7 linked regions of the Oryctolagus cuniculus genome follow. The protein of the gene in region 4 interacts with the protein of the main gene of each other region in a pairwise test. Links are inferred from orthologs where the notes say so. Each region holds a gene or a part of one and is shown on either strand. Other genes may lie near its edges.

The links.
Region 1: the proteins of SORBS3 (region 4) and TRIM23 interact in binary tests that used the Homo sapiens proteins (3 or more experiments, as listed by UniProt). The two-hybrid records come from large-scale screens. The link is inferred for Oryctolagus cuniculus from reciprocal best matches to the Homo sapiens genes SORBS3 and TRIM23.
Region 2: the proteins of SORBS3 (region 4) and SH2D4A interact in binary tests that used the Homo sapiens proteins (3 or more experiments, as listed by UniProt). The two-hybrid records come from large-scale screens. The link is inferred for Oryctolagus cuniculus from reciprocal best matches to the Homo sapiens genes SORBS3 and SH2D4A.
Region 3: the proteins of SORBS3 (region 4) and PAK2 interact in binary tests that used the Homo sapiens proteins (3 or more experiments, as listed by UniProt). The two-hybrid records come from large-scale screens. The link is inferred for Oryctolagus cuniculus from reciprocal best matches to the Homo sapiens genes SORBS3 and PAK2.
Region 5: the proteins of SORBS3 (region 4) and VARS2 interact in binary tests that used the Homo sapiens proteins (3 or more experiments, as listed by UniProt). The two-hybrid records come from large-scale screens. The link is inferred for Oryctolagus cuniculus from reciprocal best matches to the Homo sapiens genes SORBS3 and VARS2.
Region 6: the proteins of SORBS3 (region 4) and EIF3H interact in binary tests that used the Homo sapiens proteins (3 or more experiments, as listed by UniProt). The two-hybrid records come from large-scale screens. The link is inferred for Oryctolagus cuniculus from reciprocal best matches to the Homo sapiens genes SORBS3 and EIF3H.
Region 7: the proteins of SORBS3 (region 4) and KIAA0408 interact in binary tests that used the Homo sapiens proteins (3 or more experiments, as listed by UniProt). The two-hybrid records come from large-scale screens. The link is inferred for Oryctolagus cuniculus from reciprocal best matches to the Homo sapiens genes SORBS3 and KIAA0408.

Annotation. Positions count from the first base shown.
Region 1 is NC_091445.1:86,547,718-86,551,902, reverse strand, and holds part of TRIM23 (E3 ubiquitin-protein ligase TRIM23), read left to right. Parts: intron 1-190; coding exon 191-301; intron 302-2,145; coding exon 2,146-2,270; intron 2,271-3,785; coding exon 3,786-3,965; 3' UTR 3,966-4,185.
Region 2 is NC_091439.1:3,497,627-3,502,576, forward strand, and holds the start of SH2D4A (SH2 domain-containing protein 4A), read right to left. Parts: upstream 2,986-4,950; 5' UTR 2,829-2,985; intron 1-2,828. UniProt on the Homo sapiens protein: Inhibits estrogen-induced cell proliferation by competing with PLCG for binding to ESR1, blocking the effect of estrogen on PLCG and repressing estrogen-induced proliferation. May play a role in T-cell development and function.
Region 3 is NC_091435.1:83,348,572-83,351,687, reverse strand, and holds part of PAK2 (serine/threonine-protein kinase PAK 2), read right to left. Parts: intron 2,010-3,116; coding exon 1,872-2,009; intron 1,422-1,871; coding exon 1,335-1,421; 3' UTR 1-1,334. UniProt on the Homo sapiens protein: Serine/threonine protein kinase that plays a role in a variety of different signaling pathways including cytoskeleton regulation, cell motility, cell cycle progression, apoptosis or proliferation.
Region 4 is NC_091439.1:764,836-769,020, forward strand, and holds part of SORBS3 (vinexin), read right to left. Parts: intron 3,812-4,185; exon of another isoform or gene 3,676-3,811; intron 3,518-3,675; 5' UTR 3,474-3,517; coding exon 3,367-3,473; intron 3,070-3,366; exon of another isoform or gene 2,937-3,069; intron 2,596-2,936; exon of another isoform or gene 1,971-2,595; intron 1-1,970. UniProt on the Homo sapiens protein: Vinexin alpha isoform promotes up-regulation of actin stress fiber formation. Vinexin beta isoform plays a role in cell spreading and enhances the activation of JNK/SAPK in response to EGF stimulation by using its third SH3 domain.
Region 5 is NC_091436.1:139,551,111-139,555,740, forward strand, and holds the start of VARS2 (valine--tRNA ligase, mitochondrial), read right to left. Parts: upstream 3,023-4,630; 5' UTR 2,897-3,022; intron 2,455-2,896; 5' UTR 2,427-2,454; coding exon 2,223-2,426; intron 2,121-2,222; coding exon 2,039-2,120; intron 1,943-2,038; coding exon 1,842-1,942; intron 1,580-1,841; coding exon 1,458-1,579; intron 1,377-1,457; coding exon 1,310-1,376; intron 1,225-1,309; exon of another isoform or gene 1,222-1,224; coding exon 1,124-1,221; intron 634-1,123; exon of another isoform or gene 614-633; coding exon of another isoform or gene 561-613; coding exon 479-560; intron 344-478; coding exon 224-343; intron 1-223. Other genes in the region: GTF2H4 (general transcription factor IIH subunit 4), read right to left, coding at 3,256-3,428, 3,691-3,769, 3,888-3,935, 4,463-4,593. UniProt on the Homo sapiens protein: Catalyzes the attachment of valine to tRNA(Val) in a two-step reaction: valine is first activated by ATP to form Val-AMP and then transferred to the acceptor end of tRNA(Val).
Region 6 is NC_091437.1:142,350,937-142,355,709, reverse strand, and holds the start of EIF3H (eukaryotic translation initiation factor 3 subunit H), read left to right. Parts: upstream 1-1,833; 5' UTR 1,834-1,848; coding exon 1,849-2,022; intron 2,023-4,773.
Region 7 is NC_091436.1:42,226,484-42,230,668, forward strand, and holds the end of KIAA0408 (uncharacterized protein KIAA0408 homolog), read left to right. Parts: intron 1-303; coding exon 304-477; 3' UTR 478-3,413; downstream 3,414-4,185.

The sequences.
Region 1 (4,185 bases), on a different chromosome or scaffold from region 4:
GGTTTAGATGGTTAGCAGCTGTTAAAGGTATTCATTCCCCATGTGGGATTTGGAGAGGAGTTAGGTGGACTTCAGTAGATATTGCTGCATGCAGATACTTTGTAAGTCATTATTATAAACAGAGAGTTGCTTGTGGTGTGTCACTCATTGTAAGTAGAAGTACAATATAAAGGAACTCTTTTTAAAACAGGTTTTAATGTGGAAACCGTTGAATATAAAAATCTGAAATTCACTATTTGGGATGTAGGTGGAAAACACAAGTTAAGACCATTGTGGAAACATTATTACCTTAATACCCAAGGTAAGAGTCAAAAATAACATCTTGACTTTACAAATTTTTAGGGTAACAGTCTTTAGTATACTGATTCAAGTGAAATTAGCTAAAATTTGATTGTAATTCCATTGAATTCTACTTTAAATTTCTTTCCTTTTATTTTATTTTTTTTAAAGATTTATTTGAGAGGCAGAGTTACAGACAGAGAGAGGGAGACACAGAGAGAGAGAGAGAAAGAGGGGTCTTCCATCCACTGGTTCACACCCCAAATGGCCACAATGGCCAGAGCTGTGCCGATCTGAAGGCAGGAAACAGGAGCTCCCTCCAGTCTCCCACAGTGGCCCAAGTGCTTGGGCCATCCTCTGCTGCTTTCTCAGGCTCCAACAGAGAGCTGGATTGGAAGTGGAGCAGCCAGGACTTCAACCGGCTTCCTTATGGGATGCTGGCACTTTAGGCAGACGCCTAACCTACTATGCCATGGCACCAGCCCCTCTAGTCTAAATTTCTAAAAATTGATTAAATATTTTTTATACAATTAAATATCAGTGACCAGGTCCTTATTTTAAGAAAATGATTATGGTAAGATGGGGATGTATACTTTTTTGGTTTATTCATGATAAACCATCATTAGAGAATAGAGGCCATACTTAGCTATATAGATGGTTAAGACTACTTGCCTTTTGTGCTATTATCAATTAATGTATATTTCAATATTCTTCATACAGATATAATCTCTGGGCAATGGTGGTAGTAATTTGAATTTGTGGTGTATGGTTTTGCTGCTCAGGTTGGTTCAACCTGCTGAGAAATCTACAGTGATTTGCTTTTGACCAAACTATATGAGTGTTATATCACATATCCTCCACTTTTGTTCATATTTGGGCCCTACTCTACACTTTAGCCTCTTGTATTAGTCTGTTTTCTGTTATTATACCAAAATACTTGTGGCTGGGTAATATATAAAGAAAAAAAGGTGTATTTAGCTCACAGTTTGCAGGCAAAAAGTCTATGTAGCACAATGTTGGCTCTGGGAAGAACCCCTCAGGTGCATCACATTATTGTAGAAGTGTTGGGAGTGTGTGTGAGACAGGAAGCCAGTAAGCAAGTGTGGTCTCATAACTGTGCTATTTCCTCCCAGTGGCATGCATTCAGTTTTCTTACAACATCCCCCTAATGCCCTACTTTTTAAACATCCTACCAGTATGTTAACATCAGGACACTGGGAACCGAGCTTCCAACACAGGAACCTTTGAGGGGAACCACCTAAACAAGGTCCTAAGCATAGCACCTCTTATACCCAACTCTGAGGCTTATGTTCATGCTACCTATTCCCTGTGTCATCCTACCTTCCACATAGATGGTAGACTGGGTAACTTTTTACATTGAGATTTTTGATATTAAGTTTACTATGAATCATAGTTAATAGAAAATGAAATCTTGAATATGAGGAATGCTTGAAAGTCTGGGGATATTTAGCTGAGAGAAAGAAAGAGAACTTTGAAGAAAGATTCTGATTTTTTATTTTTAAGATTATCTTTTGGTAAATGAAATAGTCTTCAGAAAACAAGTGCCATCAGTAGGTAGAAAATCTTAAGAGGCATAATTTTCACTAGTTAAGAGAAAAACATTAATATACATAGCAACTTATGTTTGATAGAGGAAGTGTTGTAAATCCATCATAGATAGGGAAAACCAAACCTGACAATTTATGTGAACTACTGTAATTTAAGGCAGTCAGTATGCGAAAATAGTGATGGCAGACAGACCCTAACTATAATATAATAATTAGAGCATTAAATAAACATTTTTTCATTCGTTGAAACTTGACAGATGACTAACTGAATATTTTTGTGGCTTTTGTTTTTTGGAAGCTGTTGTATTTGTTGTTGATAGCAGTCATAGAGACAGAATTAGTGAAGCACACAGTGAACTTGCAAAGTTGTTAACGGAAAAAGAACTCCGAGATGCTTTGCTACTGATTTTTGCTAATAAACAGGTAATGCAATTTTATTTCTGAATATTTATCATTCTAGTATTTAGTATTCCTTAGTAGTCATGCATTCCATATCATAAGGCAAGTAGAAAGATTTCAAAAGAGAATCAATTCAATAGAGTTACATCATTTCTACCGTGTATTTCAAGTACATTCCCTGTGGAAAGTGCTATGCTGGATAGTTTGGAATACAAAAAATCAAAATAGTTGATACCAGACATTCCTATGTATGTATGTTAACACATATGTGAGATTCTAATACAAAGAAAACTGGTAAATAACTTCAATAATACTTTAAAAGTATTATGGAGAATTGGGAAAGAGATTCTAAAGATGGTATCTTGAAAGATTTTTAAAAAGTAGAATTTGGGTTGAAATTATGATGAGTTGATATTATGGATAAGAATTTAAGTATTTGAAGGAAAGAACGTTACAGGCAGAGAAAATAGTAATCTGAGTGATTTTTAGGAGCAGCAAGCAGACCTGTATGAGAGATGCAAGAAGAAGATCAAGAAGAAAATCTAGAATAACAGAGGCGATCACATCGTGAAGGCCTACCTGGCTGGACTGAGATTTAGCAAAGGAGAATCATCAAAATGTTTCTGACTAGTGGGTTGTAGATATAACCAGATTTTAAGATTGTGGTTCGGGAGTTAGAATGTAGAATGAAATCAGGGCAAGCGAGTAAGGACAGGGAGATGCAGTAAACTGCTGATATAATTCAACTGAGAGTTAACAAGGGTATGAAGTAGGGGAACAGAAAAGTAGAAGCCAATGGAAGACATATTTTTTTGGCAAAATTTGTAGAATTTGTTGGTTGAATGGGGAAGATGACAGACTGAGAGTAGCTGAAGATTCCTCGATCCTGAACCTAAGCTTTCAGAATGCTTTTAAGCAATGAAGAGAAGAGAGGTGGAGTAGAGTCGATGTCATAGGGGGGGAACACTATGATGAATAAGGAATTTTCCTCCCTCCATAATAAAAACAGCTAAGCTATTAAGAATTGAGATATTTACTTATGACTAAAGACATTTGAGTAAGACATACTCATACTCATACCATTCTCCACCTCTCAGATGTTAATGATGAAAATGTTCTTGTGTTTATTTGCATGAGCTGCAAATTTTCTGGAAAAATACATAGTTACTGGTGATGCTGCCCAGAAGTCAGTGTAGGAGATGTTTGGAGTGAGAATGCTGTAACTCTTCATTATATACTCTCTCTTTATAGCATATTTTGTGGTATACTTGTGTTACTTAGGTCATATCTTTCATTTAGGTTTCATGGCTTTTATTGTTTCATGGTAAGGCTGCTGTTACAAAATACTCATTGTAAACAAAGCTCTCATTTTTTCTGTTCATATTAATCTTAGAGTAATTATTGAAAGATGGGTCTAGGTTTTAACTTTGGTTTGGGCTTCTGTTAGTATGCTTCAGCAAATTTTTATGTAAATAGTATTAAGTAGAAAAATGGTAATTTGGATAAACTGATAAAAAATTATGTGTGGATATCTTTCAGGATGTTGCTGGAGCACTGTCAGTAGAAGAAATCACTGAACTGCTCAGTCTCCATAAACTGTGCTGTGGCCGTAGCTGGTATATTCAGGGCTGTGATGCTCGAAGTGGTATGGGGCTGTACGAAGGGTTAGACTGGCTCTCACGGCAACTTGTGGCCGCCGGAGTACTGGATGTTGCTTGATTTAAAATGTAGCAGTTCTCTAAAGTTTTATGTTTTAAGAGTTATTTTTCACATAATATAAGAAATCCTACACCTCAAAGATGATTAGGAAAAGGAATCTTAAACTGGGAATTAAGTACACTATTGCTTAAAAAAAAAGTTATTTTGTAGCAAATCTAAATATCTGAGCAGTTTGTGTTAAATAGAGATTTCTTGAGTACACATTTAAAAAGTACAAGTT
Region 2 (4,950 bases), about 2.7 Mb from region 4:
CTGCTGATGAGCCTGGGAAAAAAACAGAGGATGGCCCAAGTCCTCTGCTGAGCCCTTGTACCCACGTGGGAGACCCGGAGGAAAATCCTGGCTCCCAGCTTCAGCCTGGCACAGCCCCAGCTGCTGTGGCTATCTGGGAAGTGAACCAGCGAATGGACGAGCTCTTTCTCTGTCTTTCAAATAATAAATATATCTGAGAGAGACAGAGAGAGAGAGAGAGGATACTCCTCCTCCAGGAAGGATTGGGCTGGCTCCAAGGCACTGGATTCCAGTGCTGGAGAGTGCACGGTCCAGTGCATGGTTCAGAACCCAGAGGGAAGACCTCTTGATATCCAGCCACCGACCTGCAGAGGGCAGAGCGCCAGCAGCCCAAGGGGTGAGGCTCCTGCTCTGACCATTTTGAATGGGGGCAGCCCTATCAAAAGGACGGCTAGACCCTCAGAACGAAAAGCCTGGAAGTGTAAGATTCACATTCTCTCTCCCCCCTCCCCCTGACACACCCCACCCTGTCCTCTTGATGGCAGAGCTACCGGGCACCCTGCATGCACTGACTCACTTCATCTGCCGGGAACCCATCACCAACCCCTTCTCAGGGAGGAAGCTGGGCCCAGGTCACCGGCTGGGAGGTGCAGAGCCGGGCCATCTGGCAGGAAAGTCTGCCCCCCGCTAGACTGCCCAACACAGGGGCCTGGTTTCTGAATTCATCTCGGCGAACCGTCAGGACACCATCCGGGCCTGCGGCAAGGGAAACGATGACCTAAAGGGGCCTAAGACGGGTGTCGCTCAGGGGCCGAAGCCCCACCCCTGTGGACAGCAGATGAGCTTTAGGGGAGAAGGGATCAGGTTTGAAAACACCCCATGGGGTCAAGCCTCCGCCTGCAGTGCGGGCATCCCATATGGGAGCCGGTTTGCATCCCGGCCGCTCCACTTCCGATCCAGCTCTCTGTGGTGGCCTGGGAAAGCAGTAGAAGATGGCCCACGTTCTTGGGCCCCTGCACCCATGTGGGAGACCTGGAAGAAGCTCCTGGCTCCTGGCTTCAGATGGGCACAACTCTGGCCACTGAGGCCATTTGGGGAATGAACCAGCAGATGGAAGACCTCTCTCTCTAATGTCTCTCTGAAACTCTGCCTCTCAAATAAATAAACAATCTTAAAAGAAAGAAAGAAAACCCGCACCCAGGAGAGGCAGCATGGACAGCGCTGTCAGCCATGCGCTCCTTGTCTGTGCTGGAGGATTTCCACCTGCCTGCACTGTCTGCCCTGCTCGCTCCCCAGCCGCTGGTTTTCCACACGCGCTGGGAGCCACAGGGCAGCCGGTGCAGCCCCTCTCTCGTGTGCAGAACTCAGGGCACGTCTGCGATGGCATCAAGCTCTTTCCATGTTTATGTGGCCTGGCTTTGCCTCCGGCCACCCACGTGGGTTTCCAGCAGGACCGTCAACCAGCCCACCCTCAGGGAAGGCGCCGACTTCCAGCTGAGGGTGAGCTGTTCATTCACACCAGCGTGAAGCAGCTTCACCCCACCAGGCTTGGGATGCCCACGGTGTGCTCACAGAAACCCACAGGGACCCCTGCCTGGCCTCCCAACCCTCCTTCTCCCGAGCTGGAGGACGTGGGGCTTCCTGGGACTCAGTTTCCCCAACCATGCAGTGTGCATGAATCTGCACCATGTAGCATGACCGAGCGTAAGGCTACAAAGCCAGGGAGAACCAGGGTACAGGAAACTGAATGGAGAAATCCACTCAGCAGGGGTTTTTCCCCGGGCACAAACGTTGCCAGCACTGATCCACACCCGAATGGCTCTCCTGGTCTGATAACACCAAGTGCAGGAAACTTCCGGCTGCTCAGGACCCAATAAAACGGAACTTCCCTCTTGAAAGGCAGGGGTGACCAGCCAGGAGCCCACCCCCTCGCTGCTGATTCCCGAAACCAGTTTCTTCAGGGCTTCTGGGCGGATCTGACCCGACTCTCACACTTTTCTCCCCAGTCACTGTTGTAGAACACAACCCTGCTTTTAACGACTCAGACCTAAACAAACCCAAAGACCTGGAAGACCGCTGAAATCCGCGTGGGCACGACATTGAGGTGGGCACGATTTACCTCTCACGTTAAAAATGCGGATGACTGTTTCCAAACAGCTCGCCCTGTTTTTTTTAGATCTTATTCAAGTTATCTCACCCCACCACCACCACCTGCAAAAGGGCTGTTTTTAAGGCTCACCGGGATTGCCAGGGCCGCCAGCACATTTTGGTAAAGTGTGTGAAGAGCCACCATTCTCGGGAATTTGAAATGATCGCATCCACGAATTTGCCCAGAAACACCCACTTGCGCGCCAGGTGGCTGCCCGCCTAATGTCTTTCCACGTATTTACTCTTTAAATTCACCTCACAAGTGCAAAGTAAGTGTGCCCAAGTCACTCCCATTCAACAAGCAGCCAAAAGCCACTTGGGGGAGGGGGTAAGGGCAAAGAGGGTGCAGCGCCCACGGCTTCTCTGAGACCCCCGGGAAGGCAGCGGCGACCCACACAGAAAACCTGCAAGGCGCCCCCTCGAGGGAGCACGGGGACAGCAGCTGGGGGTGCTGGGCGCCGCGACCCCACGTGAGGGCGTCCCGGGAAAGTTAGGGGCGCAGAGGGTCCCCATGGCCCTGCCCCTGAGGGTGACCCCGCCGGAAGCCCCGGACTCCCCTGTGCGCCCTCGGGCCCTCCCTCTCAGGGCGCCCCGGGACGCCGCGCACCCGGCCGCCGGCTCCGTCAGACACCGGACACCGGACACCCTACACCGCACGACCCCAGCCCCACGCGCCGGCCACCCCCGCCCTCAGCACCCACCTGTGCGCGGCCCTGGGCTCGCCGGCGCGCACGCCACGTCCAGCAGGGCGGCCCCGGGAGCTGTGGTGGAGGCGCGGGCTGGCGCGCGCGAGACGCCGAGGCCCGGGCGGAGCCCAGCTCCCGCCCCGCCGCCGCCGCCGCCGCGCCCACAGGCCGCTGAGTGACGGCCGGGCCGGGCGGTGCGCGAGGGCTCGGCCGCGGGCCTTCCCGCGCACGCACGCCGCGGCGCGGGGCCTGCAGGGGGCGGCCCTGCTCAGCCCCCACGGCCGGGTCCCGCGCGCCCCGCGACTCGCCGCTCTGCCTTGTCTCTTCTCGGGCACTTGTGCGGACAGGTGTGGCTCGGCGGGACGGGAAAGGAATGGTGGAGGCGACAGGGGCAGCAAAGGAAAGAAGCCAGGAGGAAGCTAGCACGGGTGGGGTGGCCGTGGTCTACAGAGTTGTGTGCGGGGAGAGCGGCGGCCTCCCCCGGAGAGGTGTGGGCAAAGGTGGCCGTGAGCCCCGGGTGTGCTCCACGCAGCCTGCCTGGCCCGCTCAGGAAGGCCAGGGAAGCAAGGTCCCCTTGCTACCCCACCCCATGCCCAGCTGCAGAAGGTGCTCACAGTTAGTGGGAGCTTGGAGCCGCAGGTTAGAGAACCAGGCATTGGCAGGAAACAACACCTGGGGATGCAGTGGTCATTCTAGCAGATAGAATTTCTGCTTTAAGGTGCTGACTGTGCAAACACATTGGCTCACATTCGTTCACACCACACACTGTAAACTCCAGCTTCTAACCGCGTCACACCTAAGCTATGGGTTTTGCCTCCTGTGTCACCTGGCCTCCAAGTCCCAATGATCCCCATCTCCTGCGACCCACAGTCTTGTGTAGCTTCCTTCCCATGAGGTCCCAGAGTTGCTCCTGGTGACCCACAGAAATGCAAAAGTAAGGATGCATTACTTCCAGGATTATACTAAAAAAACACCTGTGGCTTTTTAAATACTTGTTTATTTGAAAGGCATAGGGGGAGGGAGCGAGAGGGAATGTGGTGGGGAAGGAGAGATCTTCCATTTGCTGGTTTACTTACTCCCCAGTGGCTGGAGTTGGGTCAGGCTGAAGCCAGGAGCCTATACCTCCATCTGAGTCTCCCAAATGGAGCCACCCAAGTACTTGAGGGCCATCTTCTGCTGCTTTCCCAGGCGCATTAACAGGCAGCTGGATCAGAAGCGGAGCTCTGATACGGGATGCTGGCATCTCAGGCGGTGACTGCCACTGAGCCACAACACTGGCCCCACCTATAGCTTCTGTCTTTTTTTTTTTTTTTTTTTTTTTTTTTTTTTTTTTTTTTGACAGGCAGAGTGGACAGTGAGAGAGGGAGAGACAAAGAAAAAGGTCTTCCTCTTCCGTTGGTTCACCCCCAATGGCCACTGCAGCCAGCATGCTGCGGCCAGCACACTGCGCTGATCCGAAGCCAGAAGCCAGGTGCTTCCTCCTGGTCTCCCATGGGGTGCAGGGCCCAAGCACCTGGGCCACCCTCCACTGCACTCCCGAGCCACAGCAGAGAGCTGGCCTGGAAGAGGAGCAACTGGGACAGCATCCGGCGCCCCGACTGGGACTAGAACCTGGTGTGCCGGCGCCGCAGGTGGAGGATTAGCTTATTGAGCCGCAGCGTCAGCCCTGTGGCTTCTGTCTTGAAACCTACCCACCCCTACCCTCTCCCCCGCCCTCCTTTTGAATGGTCGTGGAGGTGGAGCCTTCCACGTGACTGCGGCCTTGGTCTACATCCTCACTACAGATCCATGAGGTGAAGCCTCTAAATCTGGAGTAATTTATTATAAATAATTCATATTTATTACCCAGAAATAACTAACAGACCTCCTCACCGGTCTTGTTTCTGAGCCAGGTTTAGCTAGCTTTTGTGTACAGGAAAATCAGCTGGCTAGTTTGCTTAAACCTGGGTCCCGGACCGAGGCGTCTGCAGTTGGGGCAGTGCCCCGGGTAGCTGGGTCTTGGACGAGGATGGCGTTCCAGATCACTTCTGCAGGAACCCTGCTACAGCCTCTCCAAGTCCTGTGTTTCTGAATGTGGTGTCAAGCTAATGTTGTCAGGATGAGCTCTGATCCACCAGTCAGTTGCCCTTCTTGCCCA
Region 3 (3,116 bases), on a different chromosome or scaffold from region 4:
TACTAAAGTAATTCCACATCTCCAATGATCCGTGAATCCACCAAGAACCTTCTCATTTAAGTTCTCTTACACAGTAACACACTGGTAATGTGTTAGAATCACTCTAACTTATGACAGCCTTTACAGTTTACTCGTCATCATTTGGAACTCTGTAATACTGACATTTCTCTCTCATGAATACAGTCTCAACTAATTATTCTACAACTCACTAAAGTTCAATCTCTCACTTTGTCTCTGCTAACCCCAAATATTTTTCCCTTTAAGTGGAAAACAAAAGTTAATTTTCAAATTCTGAAAATTCAATGATTATTACAGAGTAGGATGTGGTATGAACAGGATATGTAAGGTGAGAGGGTTACATAAAAACAAAAACAAAAAAACTAAACCTAAAATTGCAACATATACAGAAACTTATTTCCAAAATGAAAGAGGAAAGGAGGAAAGGAAAGGTAATGGCACTAACCAGTCATAAAGCCCAAGCTGGAACAAGAAAAATCACTTTGGTTCCTCCTCAAGCCAAATCTGAAGAGGAGAAAGGCAGAAAGGAAGACAAAACCGTCAGGGTGTACAGTCGCCGGGATTCTTTTTTGTCTCAGTGATTTAGTTATAAATATAGATTAGTCTTCTTTCTATACATGTAACAAACTCCAAACTCACCACCATGAGATTTCTCAAAGTGACCCTTTCACATTTGTTAAAAAGGTAAAAATCACATACTTTTCTTCCCTTCTTTCAGTTCAAGTTCTGAACTGAAATATTCCATGAAACCATTGCTGGTCCTAACTTCTATACAAAGTTAAACTATGCTGAGCTCCTTTGCCAATGAGGAGCTGCACAATTTCTATCATACTTGCCTTGAATTCAGGCACGACAAAAAGTTCTCAAAGCAACTCAAAAGGAGCAAGTCGAGGAAAAGGAGAGCTCTGAAGGAGAGAGAAGACCAGCAGGTGAAACAAATATGCTGAAAAACTCGAATCTGCCCTTCAAGTATTGAAAACACCCCAAAGGGGACAAGAATGGGATCTATTCCAACAAAGTTAGCAAAATAAAATGCAAATCTCAAGCATAAGGAACAGCCCTGACGGCTGTCTGCTGAAAGATGTAAGGCGAGTGACTCAGTCCACAATTCCTTTGGACCCTAAAGAAGGGGTTCATCTGAAAGTCATGATTCTCTTTTTGCAATTTTGTCTTAGTTGTCTTCAAGAAATAGTAGCTTTGTTTTTCCTCCATTATTCAGACCATTTCTTTAAACCCCGAAAAGAGCAGTAACTTTCATATATTAAAAGACTTCTTTTAGGAAATGGACAAAGGAACATGAGGCCACGGCACTGATGTTAGCGGTTACTCTTCATTGCTTCTTTAGCTGCCATGATGAGTGGTGTCAAGCTGGATAATGGTTTGGCCAGTTTCAGGAAGGGATGCTGCCAGAAAAGGGGAGAAACAAACAGGTAAATGCTATCAGCTTAGAAACAAAATGTTTCCTTTCAACTAATCCCCAAAGACTACTTATGAATCATGGTTTATTTGTTAAAGTATCCCCACAAGTCAATATCCATATGAAACCAACATAATCAGTACAACACCTAAAGCTGAAAGCAACCACTTTACTTTTCCTAATATAAATCTATAGTTAAGGCCACAGACATATCCAGGCCAGCAGTGAACAGGCCTGAAAACTGACAGTATGCAAAAACTCATTATGATGTTACAGATTTTTATTCCCAGAAGGAGCCCTAAAATGCAGTTACCACACCAAGGTGATCAATACATAGTGAAATACAATGATTTGCCACCCTATGAAAACCTTCTCTAGATTACTCAAAACACAAAGGCAACTAAATTTTCCAAAAATGACATCATTTCCAAATTACCTGCAGCAGTTCTTTGGCTGAACCTCTCTTCTCCACATCCATTTCCAAACATCGATTTAAGAAATCCCGAAATATGGGGGAAAGCTTCTCTGGATTCTGAAGTTCTGGGGTTCCATTAGTTGCTATCAGGTACAAGGCCTAAAAATGGAAGAACATTTTTACACACTTATGATAGTGCAACAAACTGACAGATCACTTTACAAAGTTTGTGGATCTCTTAATTCTTTAAAAACAAACATCAACATCAAAGTGAGGTTATCATTTTTACTCATTTGGTTCTGAAATTTTTCCTTTTTCATTTTATGTACTTTTTAAAAAGATTTATTTACTTATTTGAAAGTCAGAATTACAGAGACAGGAGACATAGAGAGAGTGAGCAAGAGCTTCCAATTGTTTGTTCACTCCCCAAATGGCTGCAGCGGCAGGAACTGAGCCAGTCTGAAGCCAAGAGCCAGAAGCTTCTTCCAAGTATTCGGGCCATCTTCTGCTGCCTTCCCAGGTGTGTAAGCAGGGAGCAGGATCAGAAGTGGAGCAGCCAGGACTCGAACCAGTACCCATATGGGATGCCAGCACTGCAGGTGGCGGCTCCACCCACTACACCACAGCACTGGCCCCGCAAAATTATTTTAATGGTTAAATCAAACAGTATCTTATGTTCTCTATTATAATCAATAGCCTTTAGAAAATTCTTGTATTCTTTATGTACTTCTTTATTTCCTATAAATTTCTAGAAATGAAATTATTACTTTTTGATTAACTGTTATTTAAGAAGTTTTAGGTTTGTAGAAATTGGAATTGAAGCCTGATTATTTCTACATCCCTATAGATATCCTTTCTCACCAGGCAGTCATTCTTTGAACACCTGGTTTGTGTAGCTACCAAGGCCACTATATATACTATATACAGACACAAGAAGAACTTTAACTTATGTCATAGCACCAGCCCGAAGTTTAACAGAGTCTGGAACTTAATCCAGGTTTCCCAGGTAGGTGGCAGGAACCCAACTACTTGAACCGTCATCTGCTGCCTCCCAGGGTGCATATTAGATGGAAGCTAGATCCACAAGCAAAGCAGGGACTCAGCCCAAGCACTCTGATAAGAGATGTGGGTACCAAGCAGTATCTTCATTGCTGCATCCAATACCCTCCTGAGTCCTCATCTCAATGGCCGTAACTGCAGTTTCTGACAAGCTTACTTTCTTTATACAGGTTCCAGGGCATATATTTATTTGGCTTTTCCTCCCTT
Region 4 (4,185 bases):
GGGGCTGGCTACGGGAGGGCTGGGCCCAGCTGGGTGGGAACTCAAGGACCCAGGAAACTGTGGGCACCGGCCTGCAGGCTGCCCGTGCCGGCTCCCGGAGGCACAATGGGCTGCTTGTTAGGCCCCGGTGGGAAGGGGGGAGGGGAGGCCTGGGCCAGGAGGAGGAGGAGGAGGAGGAGGAGAGGGAAGGTGGCCAGCCTGCGGACCTGCGGGCCTGCGGGCCAGGCACGGGGAACTGGGGCGCACAGGCAGAGAGGGGACTTTGTTTCAGTTCCCTCTGCCTCCTCCAGGCCCTGTGGGAGCATCTGCTTGCCCACGGGCACAAGCGATCACTCCAGCTGGGACGAGGCGGGGGAGGGGGAAGGCCCTGCCAAGGGCAAGGCCACCGCCCACTGCCGCTGGGAAGCAGCTGGTGGTGCCCCAAGTCCAGAGCGTGGGGGGCATTTCCCGGCAGCAGGAACCACTCCTCGTGATCCACTCTGGACGACTCAGCGGACTCCGGTGCCAGGGAGGGGTGGGGTGAGAGAGCCGCCCAGGCTGGGCCTGCTCAGGCTCATGGAGGGGTGGGGCCGAGCCCCCTTGGGTGTGTGCGTGCAAACACACACCCTCCACACTTTTTCCTGCACCTCCAAGCTGCTTGGTGGTCTCTGGCTGCAGCACCCCTGATTGGCCCCGGGCAGAGGCCAGGGGGGCTCCAGGGGCCCAGAGGAGGTTGCTAGAGGGTCTTGGGGTAGAGCGGCTGAGGGCCGGGGCACAGAAGCTGCCCCTTCTCCCCTGTGCTTGCTGGATTGAGCCAGCCTCTGCCAGCTTCAGGGCTGGCCCCAACCAGACCTGGATCCTGGATGGGCGTGTGACGTCCGAGGAGGCTCCCTGGGAGATGCTGTGGGGCAGGGGGATGACTCTGTGGGGGAGGGGAGGCTGCCAGGGGACCGCGTGGGCAGCGCTGGGGCGGGCACAGGGGCTGTCAGCTGAATCGGGTGTGCCTGTGTGGTGGGCAGTCACATGAGCGGTGCAGCCGGGGCCTGGGGGCTGAGAGGAGGCTGATTCCTCTCCTGAGCCGACTTCCTGCTCCAGCCTGGGAGGCCGGCGGGGGTAGCGCCCAGGCTGGGGGCAGCCCCCGGCTTCTGGGGGCCTCTGAGCCAGCTGTGGGGTCTGCAGCCCTTCTGTGCCCATCCCTGACTGGGGCGGGGGGAGACGAAGGACCCGGCTGTGCTGGAGGAGGGGCTGCTCTCCAGCTGGAACCAATTAGGACTCCTACCAAAAGTAACACACAGACACACCCCATTCCTGCTGCCCTGACTCCTCGAAGGGGAAATCGAGGCAGGGCAAGAGGCTTGCCCCGAGCCAGCGGCCCTGGCTGGGACCCCTCCCCAAAGGGCCACGCCTGGAGGCCAAGCTGCAGGCTCAGCCCCGAGGTCCCCAACGTCAGCTGCCCCGCGCCTTCCTGCCCCAGCCCCAGCCCCAGCCAGCGGCCAGCTCGGGGAGGGCTGACCCCCGCAGGAGCCTCCCCACACGGCCCCCACTTTCAGGGGCTACCGCAACTGTCCCTCCCCAGCTCTGCGCTCCGTGACGCACCCCGCAGGAGCGCGCAGGGCAGGGGCTGTGGGGGTCCCAGTTTTCTCTGCTGGAGGACAGCAGGAAGAGCTTCTCACCGGGGCATCTCTGAGCGGCCCCACCCCCACCCCCGCCCTAGGGCTGTTCTGATGGGAGGGGGAGCGGGGGGTGGGGGCTCGGCCCTGTGCGCTGTCCCAGGTATTCTCCAGCCACAAGTCCACGTGGGCGAGGCGGGTTTTCTCCAAGTTCGCCTTTTCTGGATTGGGAAGCCGGGACCTCACACCTCTGCGTAGTGCGGAGTTCAGGACCAAACCCCGGAGGAGGGGCTCCGTGCCTTCGTCGCCACGGGCCGTGGGTCCCGCCCCCGCCGCCGCCTCGCCTCCTCCCACGCCCCCTCTGCTTCCCCCCACACCTACCTTGCCTGGCGAGCAGGTGGCGGGGGCCGAGGCCGCCCTGGAGGAGGGCAGGGGCATCCCCGCCCGGCTCCTGCCTGGCGCGGCCTTGGCGGGCCCCGGCGGCGCGCGTGACCGGGTCAGGAGAGGGCTCGGCCAGACTGGGCGCCCGAGGAGGAAGAGGGAGGCAGGACCAGGACCGTGAGAGTGGCGCGACGCGGCGCGGCGCGGCGCGGGTGGAGTTTGCGTGTGCGACAGCTACTCCCCTCACTCCCGCGGGGCTGCGAGCGCGCTCGGTCCTGGCGAGCCGCGCCGCGGGACGCCGGTGGCCCCCTGCCCGAGGGGCCGGGCCGGCGGGGAGGCGGCGCCGGGAGGGGCCGCCGAGGGTCCCCGGGGAGCCCGCTCTGGTTTCCCAGCCGCCCTCCCCGGTCCCCACCGCTGGGCTGGCGTCGGGAAGGGGGAGGGCGGGCCGGCGAGGGCCACTCAGAGTTTCCAGCGACATTTCCAGAGTGTGGGAAACGAGGTTCTGCGCCGGCGGAGCCAGGACAGGACGCGAGTGCCGAACGCGAGCGAGCCGTGCGCCCCGGGGCCCTGGGGAGGCGCCTGGAGGACCCGAGGAAGCACCCCGCCGCCCGCCCCCGCGGGACGAGTGGGTGCCGCGTCGCCTGGGTCAGACACACGCGCGCGCGCGTGCACCTGGCGGCCGGCGGACGCTCACACACGTGCAAGCCCCGGGAGGAAATCACCCCGAGGGAGCGCCCCCCCCCCGGGCGTGCCGCGCCCCTGAGAGGATGAGGGTGGGGTCCCTTGGGCGGGGACGGGGTTAGGAGGGTCTCGGTGTTCCCATACACCCTGTTTATTTTGATGTTCCTGGTCTTCCGCTGTTCCTGCTGCCCCGCCCACTGGCTCTACGTTCCCTGGAGCCATGCTCTCTTGAAGTTTCCAGAAAGTGAGGGTGCTTGGGACTGGGCACTGAGAGTGGACACTGACCCCAGAGTACCTCCAGCCCTCGGCTTGCCTCAGGGACCCTGGTGCGCCACAGCAGCCATCAGGCAAAGTTATTGATCAACCTCAACTCCATGTTGGGAGGAGTCAGGAAAAGATGACAACTCCTACTGCACACCTGCTGGGGGAGGGGCTGGCGTGGGAGGTCACCGCGTGCTTCCGTTTCCCCAGCACACCACTCAGTTCACAAGACACGGAGCCGGGTCCATCCCAACCCCCAACACTGCTACTTAGTGCCCTGTTTTCCCCGGTCCAGGTCCAAGAGCTTCTGGGTTGTGCGGAAACAGCTCAGCCATGCAGGCTGAAGAAGATGGGCATGCCAGCTCGCTCCCCAGGGTCGGCCTGCGGCCACATCCTCCTCCCCGCCTCTGACACCAAGGAGGGGCCCCTTTCCCTGGTCAGGAGCTGTTCCCACCTGTTAGGCTCCTTGGGACTAAGGAGGGCCATTTCACTTTCATTTTCTTCCTTGTTCTCCAAAGTTGGTGCGGCTGAAGATCTTCCAATTGCAGGAATCCTGGCCATGCCCTCTGCCCAGCCACGAGCTTCTTACTCTCCAGGGCTCTGACCTGGACTCCAAGATAAATATTTAATGTAGAGGGGGCCGCCAGCTGACAAAGATCCCAACTTCCTGTTTCTCACAAAAGGGGCGAAGAGCTAGGGCCGGCCCGCAGCCTCATCTCCGTGGGAATGGGAGCTCAGTAAGCAGCTTCGGAAGAGCGGAGACCTGGGCCTTTTCCTTCAGCGGTGGACTGGGGCCTGTCCACCTGGGCCTGGCCTGGGCGGCGCCCACCCCCTCTCCCGGCTCAGAGCCCACCCTCCTCTCCATGCGACCCATCTGGCCTCACAGAAGGGAGGCGGGAAAGAGGCTGGTGGGGCCGCGGGGCCAGGGAAAACATTCGCAAAGCTGACCTGCTCCTCCTTCGCTGCCCATATTTAGTGAGAATAATCCCTCCTCTTTGAAACGCAGATTAAGAAGAGGGGTGGGGAAACAGGAGGGTCAGGATTCTGACCCGGAGCCAGGGGTCTGGTTTCGCAGCCCCTCCCCCTGGCCGCACTGCCTCCACAGCTGGCACGGGTTGAGGGCAGGCTGTCCTAGATATCAACAGAGTCCTCTATCCCAACGCGCACTCTCTCCACCCCACACTTGCCTATGTGAGAGGGACCCACCTCTGGGATCTCTGCCTTCCATGGTCATCTCAACCACAGTAGACACAACTACAGAACCACATAACTG
Region 5 (4,630 bases), on a different chromosome or scaffold from region 4:
CGTAGGCACTCAGACACAGTCAGGAACGGACACATGCGAGCCATCATCTCTAACTTACGGACCGAGGAAGCTGAGGCTCAAACAGACTGAACAGCCGGCCCAAAGCCACTCGGCCGTGGGTGGCAGCACTCAGGTTCAAATCCAAGCAGTCCGCCCCTGGAATCTTAACCGCTCCATGACCCGGCCTGAGAGTTCTTACCACCTGCTCCTCTCCCCGTCTCACCTCAATATCAGAGATGGCTGATCGTAAGGCGCACGACCAGTTGACGAGCTGACGGCCTCGGTACAGCAACCCTGCCTCGTAGAGCCGCACGAAAGCTTCGGTCACAGCCACCGAGAAGCCCTGGAATGACCTGAGTGTCCACCTCAAAAGCCCTCCTCAGCCCATCGCCCATCCCGGGACCCAGGCGTCCCCAGCTCCCACATCTGAAGACCTCCAAACACCCACAACCCCCAGGGACACGTGTGGGACACTCACGGCATCCATGGTAAAGCACTCTCGGTCCCAGTCCAGGGAGGCGCCCAGAGCACGCAGCTGCTCACAGATCTCGCCACCTTTCCTGTGCCCAGAAGACAGCCCTGTCAGCATTTCCCAGGCCCCGGGCCCGGCCATGCCCCCAGCAGTGCCAGGCGCTGTCAAAAATAAAGCTAATGGAGACAGACCCAGGAGGGGGCTTTCTGTGACACCGAGAGAGGCATAAGCACCCACAGGATCCACCGCGCGGCGGCAGCCAACGTGCAAGTCCAAGAAAGCAGCGTGGAGAAGGCGCCAGGCGAGCACGGCGTGGGGGCACGGAGGTGATCACACGGGGACTGGCAGGTGGGAATGCGCAAGCAGGGGAGGTGAGGACACTGAAGTCCAGGCGAGGGAAAGGGATGAGCAGAGGAAAAGGCGTCCACGTGTACGCACACATACAGGAGCAGACATTCTGACACGCAGCGTGCACACACACTCGTACGAGGCCTGCAGACACCACCACGTGCTAAGGGGCTCCAGCGCCTGTCCCCAGGGAGGGTGGGGCCGCCCTGGGACGAGCTGAGAACTCTAAGGTAAGAGAGTAAGCGACGGGAAGCAGGGCCGCAGCCTGGCATCCCAGCCCCTGCAGCCCTGCCTGGCACTCACGCCGCCTTCCACTGCCACACGGCCTTGAGGAAGTCCTCCCGGCCCAGCTCGTGTCTCCTCACTCCCCGCTCCGTCCACAGCCGCTTCTCCACCACAGCCTGCAGGATCAGGAGCAGGTACAGAATGAGGCTCCTCTGTGGGGAAGAGACCGTCTTCACCCGAGAAGGGAGCGGGGACAGGGCCTACTTGTGTAGCAATTCCTGCGTGATCGGAGCCAGGGACCCAGAGCACCCGATCCCCTCGCATGCGGTGCCTGCAACAGAAGCATCCTGGCCTGAGCCCTGGGCACCCATCCGCCCACGGTCCACAGCCCCTCCGGGAACGCCCCTCTCACCAGCGCACGAGGGCATCCTCTATGGCCACCGTGAGTGCGTGGCCGATGTGCAGGGACCCAGTGACATTGGGGGGCGGGATACACATGGAAAACGTCTCCCCTGTGGTCTGGGGCATCTGGGCCTAGGAGGAGGCAGAGGCAAAGGCAAGAGAGGGTGGCCGTTCGCTGGGGGAACAGCACCCTCTGGCGTCTTCAAGGCAGACAGCATCTTAGGGAACTGCCCTGCAGCTAACAGGAAAGACGGGGAAGGGAGGAGGAACCTGCCAAGGGAAATCTGCAGGACACCACAGGCTTGAAGCAGACAAGCTGGACGGGGCGAGCGGGACTCAGAGGCTCCTGTCCTGCTCAGGGACCACTGAGCACCACTCCCTCCCAGGTATTCACCTGATATTCTGGTTTGAAGAAGCCCTCTCGCTCCCACCACGAGTACCAGGCAGCCTCGACGTAGCAAGGGCTGTAGGCAGCAGGCAGGGGCCCCGACACATCTGTGGAAGCAGAGGAGAGCTCCACTACCTCCTGAACTTCCTTCCCGGCTGCACCTTGGCGACAGCGGGAGAGCCGAATCTGCACGCCACCGTTACCTTTCTTCTCCCCGGGCTCCGTAGGGACTTCATACAGCACCACCTCCTTAGGGCTCCAGGCCTTCCTGGGTTCTGCAGGTGACTGAAAGGAGGCAGCAGGAGGGGCTTGGAATCCCGGCCCAGCCTCCTCTAGCCCCCTCCCACCCGTCTCAGGGGCCTGGGGTCAAGGTGCTCCACCCCTAACCTGGCCCTTCCCGGCTGTCCCGGCCTCCAGCGCCGCCTGCCTCTCCCGCAGGCGCTTCTGTTTGGCCTCTCGGTTCCTCCGGGAGACGGGAGGTCCATGATGGGGCTCTGACTGTGTAGAAAGGGGATGGAGGCTGCGGAGGCCCCGTGGGGGCCTCAGACCCCAGAGCGAGGGTCTCAGAGAGGCCAGAGGCAAATGAGGCATCGGGAGTTGTCTGGAGAGGGGTCAAGATCTGTTCCGGAGAGACGGCGCACGTGAAGAGGGTGCGGGAGTCGGGGAGCGGCACAGCCCCCGGGCCACGCCCCCAGCCCTCACTGCAAGCCTCGCGCTCGCACCAGTTTTCCTAAGTATTTTCCAACACCACGCCTCCCGCCGGTGGACGAGAGCGCGTGGTATAGACAGGGCCAGCGGCCTGGCCCCCGGAGACCCGGGCTCGTGTCGGGCAAGGTCTGAGTCTCTCTCCCCGCGCCCACGCCTCTCTGCGACATGGCGGAGGGGCAAGACTCGGGGATTCGGGGAGACGATGGCCAGCAGCGCCTACAAGCCGCCCTAGGGGGCCCACCGCGGTCTCCGCCCGCAGCGTCCCCGGCCCGCGCGGCCCGGCCACCCCTCCCCGTGAGCCCCGGCCCCGCAGCCCCTCCCACCTCCCCCGGGCCGCCCCGGCGCGCGCTCACCGGCGACCCCGCCGCTATCCCAGGGCGCCCCGCGGCGGCGGCAGGGACGCGGGGCACCAGCGAAGCTGGCCCTGGAAGCAGGCCGGCGATCACGCTGCGCGCAGAGACCGCCCGCCCCTCACGCACTGCGCGTGCACGGCCACTCCCTCGGCCCCGCCCCCCACCGCCGCCGCGTCCAATGGCTGCCGGCGCGAGAGGAGCGAGTTCGCCGCCGGGAACAGGCGAAGGCTTGCAGAGAGGCGCGCGGGACCAAGGGGCTCACTTTCACGATTTTATTGAACAAGAAAAGTCCCGATGCATAAATAAAAAAAAACACCTGAGTTGTGGGGCCGCCCCGCCCGCCGCCCGCCCGCGTCCGGTCAGGAGCTGTGCTTCTGCCGCTTCCAGAAGCGCTTGACGTCGCTGTGCCCAGCCGGGGTCACCACCATGAGCCGCTTGGCCGAGTTCTCGAAAACCAGCACGCCCAGCTCCCGCGCGTGGGCCAGCAGCAGCTCGAAGTCCACTTGCGACAGGAACTGGTTGTACAGGACGCCTGGGGTGCGCAGGAGCGGAGGGCGAGCACGTGAGGCGGGGGTCCCCCCCGTGGCAGCCTGACACTAGTGTGTGCCCAGCTCCCACAAAATCCAGACTGCCCTGACTGGGGACGTCTACTGACTAGTGCCCGCTTGCCCCAAAATCAAGTGGCCTGCCAGCTTTCCGTGCAGGAAACACAAGGTGACATGCGTGGAGAACTCTTCAGCCCGTCAAGGCTGAACTGCCTGCCGTCCCTCATGCCGGTGCCCAGCGCCACTCACCCTCCGTGAACCGCAGCCTGTCCCTTTCCAGCTCCCACAGGCGAATCTGGTCCGTGATGGTGGGGGGCAGCACGGGGGTCTGCGGGGACAACAGTTGGCTGAGGGGTTTCAGGGACACTGGCCCTGCACTTGGTCCCCAGGTTGGGGGGACTTCTCCCGCCATCTCACTGCCAAGTGCCCAGGGTGCCTGTGTTTACCTGTTTGAGCATCACTGGGTGGGCCCTTGTCCTTAGGAAGTGGATTATCTGAGAACAGACAAGAATGGCGAGAGGGCTTGAACCTACTGTCGCCAGAGCACAGCCGCTCTCTCTAGAAAGCCCCAGGGCCACCTCCCTGTTGTCGGCTCCGCCCACCCCTGTTCACCTGTTGTTACCCTTACTGCACCGCCCACAGCCTCTCTATTGGTCAAGTCTGCAGTCTGCCCTTTCCATTAACTTGTTTTTTTCTTTAAAATAGCCACAGCTACTACTTTTTGATCAACTTACTGCTAGGCAGGCTCTGAGCTTAATGCTTTAGCTCTGCTCTCCTGCTGAGTGCTCCCAGCAGCCCAGGGAGGTGAGAGCTGTCACTCACCAGAAGAGGAATCAGGGAGGAGAGAGCAAGCCCAGCCCCCGCGGCCAGGCAGTGGTGCCGAGACACAAGTCCCTCTGTGTTCTCCCCCGAGGGGTCTGCCCGTTCCCACTCCTGCAGGCTGGACTTCGCCTCGCGTGCCCAGCGCTCTGCTCACACACCGCACCACTGCCTGTTGTCCCAGACCCAGTGCCGGGGATACCTGCTGGGCCGTGATGCCGCTGGCAATGGCCTGCTGCACGCTCTCCCGGGTCACCTGCGCCACCACCATGTTGGGGAAGCGATAGAGCATCTCGGAGAAGAGGGCGATCAGCGCGATCTGCAGCTCCGACTCTGACGCAGGGAGAGGACAAGCGGGTGAGGCCCCGGC
Region 6 (4,773 bases), on a different chromosome or scaffold from region 4:
GCCAGACACTTTAACAAATAGCATTGTTCTTATTAGAGATTATATAATAGAATACTTTTTTTAAAAGAGTGTATATTGAATAGTAAACAATGGAAAAATATTCTCTGGGTAATTTTGGCAAACAGAACATCTATTTACTATCTGGTAAAATTGGGATTCAGATGGTACAATCCTCGGAAATCTGGATGAATGACCTGATGGGGAGAATAGTCTTTACTGTGGAGAGCAAATCATGTAGGGTAAACATTGTGACACACAATCTGGCAAAGTTTCACAAAGTGTAGAAGAGTTGAGTAATTTAGGTTTCTACTGACCCATTTGCTTCCGTCTCTTGAGGCATAATCTGTAGTGGAATCCTCATTTCCCCACTCATTTGTAGGATTAAGAAACATAGTCAGTACTAGTTCTTAAGTCTTATATGTGGAATAAAGCCATAAAGTATGTCTTGCTGTACTGTAGAAAACTTGAATATTTCTAAGATTTCTAATATTTGTAAGTTACCTTTCTCTTTTCTCTACAATAAAGATTCTTCCAAGGAGGGCTTGAGTTCCTCTTATTGGGGGCGCTATTTATGCTTTTAGAAGTAAAATGTTCACTTTTGGGTCTATATTTTTTAGGGTCCTCACTTTTCAGCAACACTAGGAGTCATAAAACTGGAAGGAAAATTTGTGGTTTAATCACAGTGTACATAAAATTTCCTGAGGACATAACAACAAAACGAACAAAAACAAAGGAAGACTGGACCATGCTACTTTATTAAACATTGGAATCAGCAGGATCTTAGGATCACTGGAGAACTTAGAAGCAAAACAGAAAGAAACAAAAACTCCTAAACACAGTTTGGGAACCCAGCCCAGATCATTTAACTGAATTTCAGGAAGTTGGTTCAGATATTGGCCTAGGAGGGCACCTTAAAAAGTTCACAGAAAAATAGAAAGAACTGAAAGATCGTCTATGGTGGTATAAAAAATTTTTTAGTCTATGCATAGTTTTTTTCATAATATGCATTTTTGATGAACTATTTGAAGACCTTCTTCATGTTGTATAGCTCCCAAAATAGCTCTAATATGTATCCAGGATCAGGACTATTCTTCATGTATCTGAAAAGCTCAGGTCATTTTATTAAGCTGAGAAGTAGTGATTTAATGTTCCTGAGTGTGGGGTCATTTGTAACACAAATTAAAAATGTTAAAAAAAAATAAGGGAATGTTTTGTTTTGGAGAACTATTGAGCTTCCCATGTATCTGCTTTTAAAAGAAAGAACATGGAGCATGACATTAATAAACAGGATAATTAAAAAATATATCAGCACTGTTTTGTGGACAGAGGCATACAGTTTGTTAGAAAGAGAGCAAATGAAATGAGCAAGCAGTACTTTGTGGGGGAATGTACCCGTCTTGTGGCTTGTGAGAATAGTGTTTTTAGAGATTAAAAACCCTTCACATTCTTGCAGCTATTGGAAGTTTCCTGTGTGTGCTGCTTGAATTTCAGTGACCAGGGCACAGTGATTTGACAACCAGTACCATTAATTCTCTACCTTTTGCTGCCTGACCCTGAGCCCTACACTGTGGTGGAATGAGAAGGCCATGCCAAGATGGCTGCTGGCAAGTGAGGGTCAGTTACTTAGGAATAGCTTTGAAACCCACCTGGCAACAGAACCTGCCTGGCAACAGGCTGTGATTGGATGGCCTTGGAAATCACATGGCAACGGAGCCTGCCTGGCAACAGGCTGTGATTGGATGGCTTCGGATACTGCCTGGCAACACGCTGTGATTGGTTAGGGCATAAACCGCCCCTTGACCGAATTGGCTGCTTTGGCTATTTAAGCTGCTGTACCAACTGTAATAAATGAGTCTGTGGGCTGCTGGCCTCTGGCCTGCTTTCATCCAACTCCTGGGGTATGTGTGGGTGACTCCACACCTCTTGGCCCTACCACACTCCTCCTCTCAGAACAAATCAACCTCGACACTATACAAACCGTTTCTTGTTGCGTATGTGAAGCCCTGCTTCTCCAGAACTAGAGTTAGTAGAGCTGTTGCTAGTTTATTGTATCTGTTGCAGACTTGTGCTTATAAACATTTGTGGGTTACCTAAAGTTATTCAGTTATCGTGAAGTAATTAAAAACGCTTTGGGCACAGAAGTCAAATCTTGCCTGCTGGTTTTAATAATTCCTTAACAGGAGATATCAGTTTTATTATGTAAAAAAATAATAATATAACTGATTTCATAGGCTGGTTGTGAGGATTAAATGAGTCATTGCATGTAAGGCACTTTGTGGAGTACTTGAGATTCATACAAAAGTGATTGATGAATGTTTGCCATTCTATCCTTAGCAGATATCTTTTCAGATCTAGCCAGTGCTTGAGTTGGGAGGAGATGTGGTAAGTGAAACAATCTTTTTTGTGAGAACATTTAAGAAGGATGACACCAAACGGAACCTGGATTGTTTCAAAGACACTGCTATTCTATAAAACACATATATTTTATACACACATGTACACATGGCCAATTAGTGGTTATCTACATAGAATCCGAAAGTATGTATATTAATTATTTCTTTAAAATTGGAACAAATTTTATTCACACTTGAAAGGCATAGAGACCAGAGAGACAGGGACAGGCTAAGAAAGATTTTCTGTTTTCTGTTTCACTCCCTAAATGCCTACAGCAGCCAGGGCTAGGCTGGCAGTTAAGAACCCTGGACTCAGTCTGGACCTCCAACATGGATGGCAGGGACCCATCTTCTTGAACCATCACCTGCTGCCTCCCAGAGTATGAATTTTTTTTTCTTTAAGATTTATTTTATTTATTTGAAAGAGTTACAGAGAGAGGTAGAGACAGAGAGGTCTTCTATCTGCTGGTTCACTCCCCAGATGGCTGCAATGGCCAGAGCTGTGCCGATCTGAAGCCAGGAGCTTCCTCTGAGCCTCCCACGTGGGTGCGGGGGCCCAAGGACTTGGGCCATCTTCTACTGCTTTTCCAGGCCCTAGCAAAGAGCTGGATTGGAAGAGGAACAGTTGGGACTCGAACTGGCGCCCATATGGGATGCTGGCACTTCAGGCCTGGGCTTTAACCCGCTGCGTCACAGTGCCGGCCCCCAGAGTATGAATTAACAGGAAGCTGGAATGGAGACTAAAGTCAGGATTAGGACCCAGGCCATTGGATACATGATGTGGCTTCCCAAGTGGCAGCCTAGCTTCTCTATCAGACATCTTCCCCAAGTACCTTATATATTAGACTAAAGAATCGTGATTTTAGTGTGTCTGCAGGAAGTAGGAAGACCATAAAATGCAAGATGAAGTCAGCTTACTTTTAGTATTTTTTTCTGACTGCTTTATTTCATCAGCTATAAAATGAGTAGATCATAAATTCTAGAGTTTGACATTATTTTAGTGACTTAAGTCTTTTCTGAAGACTTTCTATTTTGAACAGCCTTGAATGCCATAGAGAGTTTATGTTTAAAGTTGACATATTTCCTGAAACTCACACGTGGTCCTCAAAGTTTGCCTTTCAAAGTTGGGCTAATTCTCCAGTACCTGATGCATCTTTGCTAGTGCAAAGATATGCTTTTTGAGTGTCCCTTGCCTGGAGAGAGGTTTGAATTTGTAAGTAGTCCTGTTGTGGGTTTTAAGCCTTCTTTCTTAGATTACCCTTTCTGTGTATTCATTTTCAATGTTGATTGTCTTTAGCAGGTAATAACCATTGTCCTTTTCCCACCTCTGGTTGAGTATTTTTACTGGTAAATTTGTCCTCTGGTCATTCATTGTTAAGAACTGCATATAATAGTTCAGTGATGCTGCAAAGAGTGAGATGATCACCTCTGTTTTGGATGGTGATAACTTGTTTTGAAATAATATTTTCATTTCTGTTTTCTTCATAAAAGGAAATAGGTTATTTTGATCTCGCTTTCTTTCTGAAACAATGCCAGGATCCTAGTCATCAGTACAAGTAGGAACTAGCTGATAGGAATCAGTTCTAGAATTTGTCCATTAAGTCTATATATCTTCTGACATTTCTACTTTGATTTCAACAATGGCTTAGTGATCCCATTATAAGGTAAACTTCCCAAGAACATATATATGTAAGTTTGGTAGGTGTTTTTGTAATAACTCCTCATCGGTTTGGTTTATCCTTTCTTATGCTTGCTTTTTTTTTTTTTTTAATGTAATTGTTTTTGGTAGAGAGAGATGTTGAGTAGGAGTTATTTATTTTTGTTGGTAATAATAATATTGATAATTTATTGAGGGTGCCTGTGCTGTAGTGCAGCAGGTTAAAGCCCTAGCCTGCAGTGCAGGCATCCCAGATGGGCACTGTTTCATGTCCTGGCTGCTCCTCTTCCAATCCAGCTCTCTGCTATGGTGTGAGAAAGCAGCAGAAGGTGGCCCAATTCCTTGAGCCCCTGTACCTGTGTGGTAGACCTGGAAGAAAATTCTGGCTCCTGGCTTTGGATCCACTCAGCTCTGGCTGTTGTAGTCATTTGGGGAGTAAACCAGCAGGATGTAAGACCTCTGTCTCTCTCGCCCTACCTCTTTAACTCTTTCAAATAAATAAAACCTTTAAAAAATAATAATTTATGAGAGGCTAATGCTGTGGCATAGTGGGTAAAGCCACCGTCTGCAGTGCCAGCATCCCATATAGGTGCTGGTTTGAGTCCTGGCTGCTCCACTTGCAATCCAGCTCTCTGCTATGGCCTGGGAAAGTAGTAGGAGGTGGCCCAACTCCTTGGGTCCTCTGCACCCACGTGCAAAACCCAGAAGAAGCTCCTTGCACCT
Region 7 (4,185 bases), on a different chromosome or scaffold from region 4:
TCATTTAACTTGAACTTTTGAATCCTGAGCTCATAACTATTTTTACAAAGACATCAACTGTATTGAAATTTGTCAGTGTGAATGAGATCCACAAGATTATCACATGTAATGATTTATATTAAAATTGAATTGCTTTGATTAAACATTCCAAGCCACAAATATTAGACAGATACCATCTTTAATTTTCAGTGCCTTTTCTTGGTTATAAGTAGGCCACATTGATCCCTTAGTTGGGATCTACAGTATATATAGTTTGCCATTAGTGCCTGTATAGTGAGATGAATGTCTTCCCTTGTGTCTCAGGAATCCCTGGCAGTGAAGGCCTTCCCTGGAAAAGGGTTTTCTCGACCTGCTAGACCAGCAAATCGCCGCCTCCCATCCAGATGGGCATCCAGATCACCGTCAGCACCCCCAGCCTTACGGAGAACTGCCAACAGTTGCACCATTTCTCTTCAATCTGAAGCAAAGATGGTCTAAGTCTCTGGCCTGGATTGTTAGATTACAAAAGCTCTAGTCCCAGTGGCCAAACAGCATTATGAGTGTTTACAGACAGTCCTGTTTTCTACTGTATCTTTCAAGATCACTGGGAGGAGTAATTTAAATCTTAACCTTCCATCAGTCTTCAGTGTTTTTAATCTGTGGAACAGTTATCTTCCTGTGTTTTGATTTCTTAGACCAGAATTTTTAATGTCACCCTCATCAATTTCCCAATATGATTTCAGTTGAAACAATGTGTACAGATATTGTATATTCTTTCTTGCAAGTGGCAGAAAGCAAGGTTATGTGCATGACCATTTGTTTGTAGGTGCATGTGTTGTCATAGGAAGTATCCTAGTATGTGTTTAGATAACAAAACCGTATGTGCTAGTGTTCACTTTGAAATTATAACATGTATGCCTATATATTCTTTGTGTTTATTTAAAAGTTTTGAAAATATACAGTACTGTTTATATTTTGTAGACCTTTTAATAGGTATCCACTTAAGTTATTTGAGGTATACATATATTAATTAACCACTTCTATGGCTGTCAACTTTATTGAAAAATAATCATTATACACACGTCTAACACTGGTAGTTTTCTAAATACGAGTCATAGTTGCTTAATCCATGTGAGGATGAACTAACAATATTGATCTCCTTTTTTAATCTTTCAAGTAAGTATGTCACAAACCTAACAGATCGACCTTCTGAAATAGCATAAATATTCATAAAAGCTTTTATGTATCATTTGGTAGTCTAGTTTGGCTCTGACAATGTATTGATCCTCAGAGCTGGTTTCATGAGACTGCCTTATAAATGACATGACGAAATAATTTATTTTGTCAATCTCAGTGACAAATATTCCTTAAAGGGGATGCAAACAGAAATTAAACTATGTTGAAGTTCTGCTTTTTGTTAAAATTGTGGTAAGCTTTTAGTTTTGTTGCTTTATCTAGAGTTATACATGACTAGAGGTAAGTTGTTCATTTTTTCCTTTTTCTAAACTTTTCCCTAACATTAAGAGATAAAAGACTAATTCACTGTTTTTACTAACAAGGAAAGCAGGAATAATATTTCACTGAGCGCTGAACTGTAATATACTTCTTATAGTGTGCTACAAAAAAAAAAGCCTTAAACTAAACTTTGGCATCCATTGTAGCATAAGAATCAGAAATGTATATTTTGGCATTTTCTACAATTTAAATACAGTGAACACCTAAGATCCATGTTCTCACTGATATAAATAAGAATGATGAGGTGCTTGGAATTCTACACAGAAGATTTTAGAGGCAACTTTGCTCTTCACTGTCTATATAATACAAAAATAATTATGTTTTATTATTATCAGTAATTCTATGTAATTTTTATTTTACTGCCAGAAAAGGTTAAGAATTTCTTATTCCAAATGTATTCAAAGAGCCTTCTCTTTATTCTGACCATTTAGAGAATCTCACTTCATTCTATACCATGCCCAAAGGTAAAGTAAACAATTATAAAATAGCAAACTGCCTTAAAAGGCTAAAGACTGCAGCATGGTGATGGCCAGATTCATACTTTACCACAAGGTGACCTTCTATTGTGAAGCTAAAATAATCTTCTAGGATAAGATTTTGGATTGGATGGTAAGTAAAGGCTATCAATCCACAAGTAATCTAGAAATCAATTGAAATCACTGTCATTATATGCTTTTAAAGCAGAGGGGTGAAAACACTGGGAAGGTGGTATTCTGGGTAATAAAAAGATGGACCTGTTAGGAAAATGTTGCTGCAGTGGTGCCAAGACACCATCCATCACTGTATTCCAGGCAGTTTTGTATGATCTGTGGCTCCTACCTTTACCTACAAGTCAGAATATTGAGGATTTCTTTTAAAAATGAAATTATTGCTCTTGTTGCATAATTACTAATGCAAAATTTCAAAGGGTAGGAACTAGGACTCTCTTAAAACAAAGCAAAATACTTGATGACCAGGATGATTTGCAAGAAATAACACTGATATCTGAATGAAAAGATAACCTTGGGTAATCTCTTTCCTTCCCTGGGACTTGCCATTCCTACCTGTAAATTAGAAGAGTTATATTGTCAGGCTTCCTAGTTTTAAGCCACTAACCACTTGAATGAGCCAGTGGGACACATTTTAATATCTTATGATGACAAATCAGAATATTAGCCCTAAAACATTTAGTATCTAGTCCAACCCCTTGGTTATACAACTGAAGAAATTAAATCAGCTTACTTGAATGTTCTGCTTTTTATTTAACATGTTTTATAAATTTTTATGGAAAAATCTATCGGGTAAATGGAAGTTATCCTTGGAAAATATTTTTTGATGTATTGTGATTTTTAACTGGTCGTTTTTCTACTTTGGATGGACATTTTCTTCCCAACAACATATCCTTCATTGTGACACCATTTTTGGATTTAAATATTGGAGTAGAAACTCTTATAATGATAGATGTGTTCCTTAGAAGGCATTTGGGGGTTGGGAGTCTTACATTATTTCAACAGGAGATTATTGGCTAATCTCAGAAAGGAATAACAATGAGGCAGAGAAGAGTCCTGTGTGAGTGTATGTATGTGCCTGTCTGTGCCATCCTAACTTAAGCTCTTTCTGTTGCCCTTATGTCCCTAACACAAAAAATATAAATGATGCTTTGTATAGTTCACTTTCTCAAAACTTACCATGAGTTTTATTGACTTTTATTTAGACAATGAGAATGATCATTTTTCATTTTACAGATTTTTCCATAAAACATAATTCACTTCTACACAGATTGATTTTTACAAGGCTCCTTGTCATCCTGAGGAAACACCTCAACCTTCAAGATTATCTGCTTCCTTAAAAAGATCTTTAGAATTATTTTAGGCACATTTGCTGATAATGAAATCTCCTTCACTCATTGGAAGCTATTAAATAAAATAAGTGTGGAAATACCTGCTGTGGCATTTTTATGCATTCAGAAATTCTGTTTTTTCCTCAAAGTTGAGAGTCTTATGTGTAAATTCAAATACGTACACAGTTTAATCTAGCCTTCCCAAAAATGTCTCTAAACAGTAGAATCTGAGCTAAATCTGCCTGACTTTCTGCTCCTGGCCACATCTAACCCCGTATGAATATAGTTTCTCACACACTGACATTCTGTCTCCTATCTGTGTCCAGGTAGCATCTGATAGAGTTGATTAATATGGTTTTTTGAAAAGTGCATTCACTTTTGAAAATTTCCATTTGCATGATTGTTTACAATCATGATTACCCATCTTATCCAGAATATGTGTTCCTTCAAAAAAATGGACTTCATAAAGCAAAAAACAAAAATGTTTTTAAGGAAAGAAAGGAATGTCCCCCAGATAAGAACAAAAGATGACTTCAAAACAATGATTTTTACTGTATACAGGTAAATTTTTCAAATAGGAAATGATTTTTGTTTCAATGCAAATCAAATTCTGAAGACATAAGATCTGACATATATTTCAATACTGTGCAAATCCAATAGTTTATATTGATAAATTCCAGAAAAAAATATGAAGCTAAACAGGACTCTAGAAAATTAGGGAAGTCTAGATTTGGAAGGAGTTTATAAATCACTCTCCTCACTTAGAGATGAAAAACCTGAGATTTGGTGTGGCCTTCTTGGCTGGCAAAGTAACAAGAAGGGGATCTGGGACTGGGCTCAAAGACAGGTCCTGCTTCCCCATGTAAATGTGT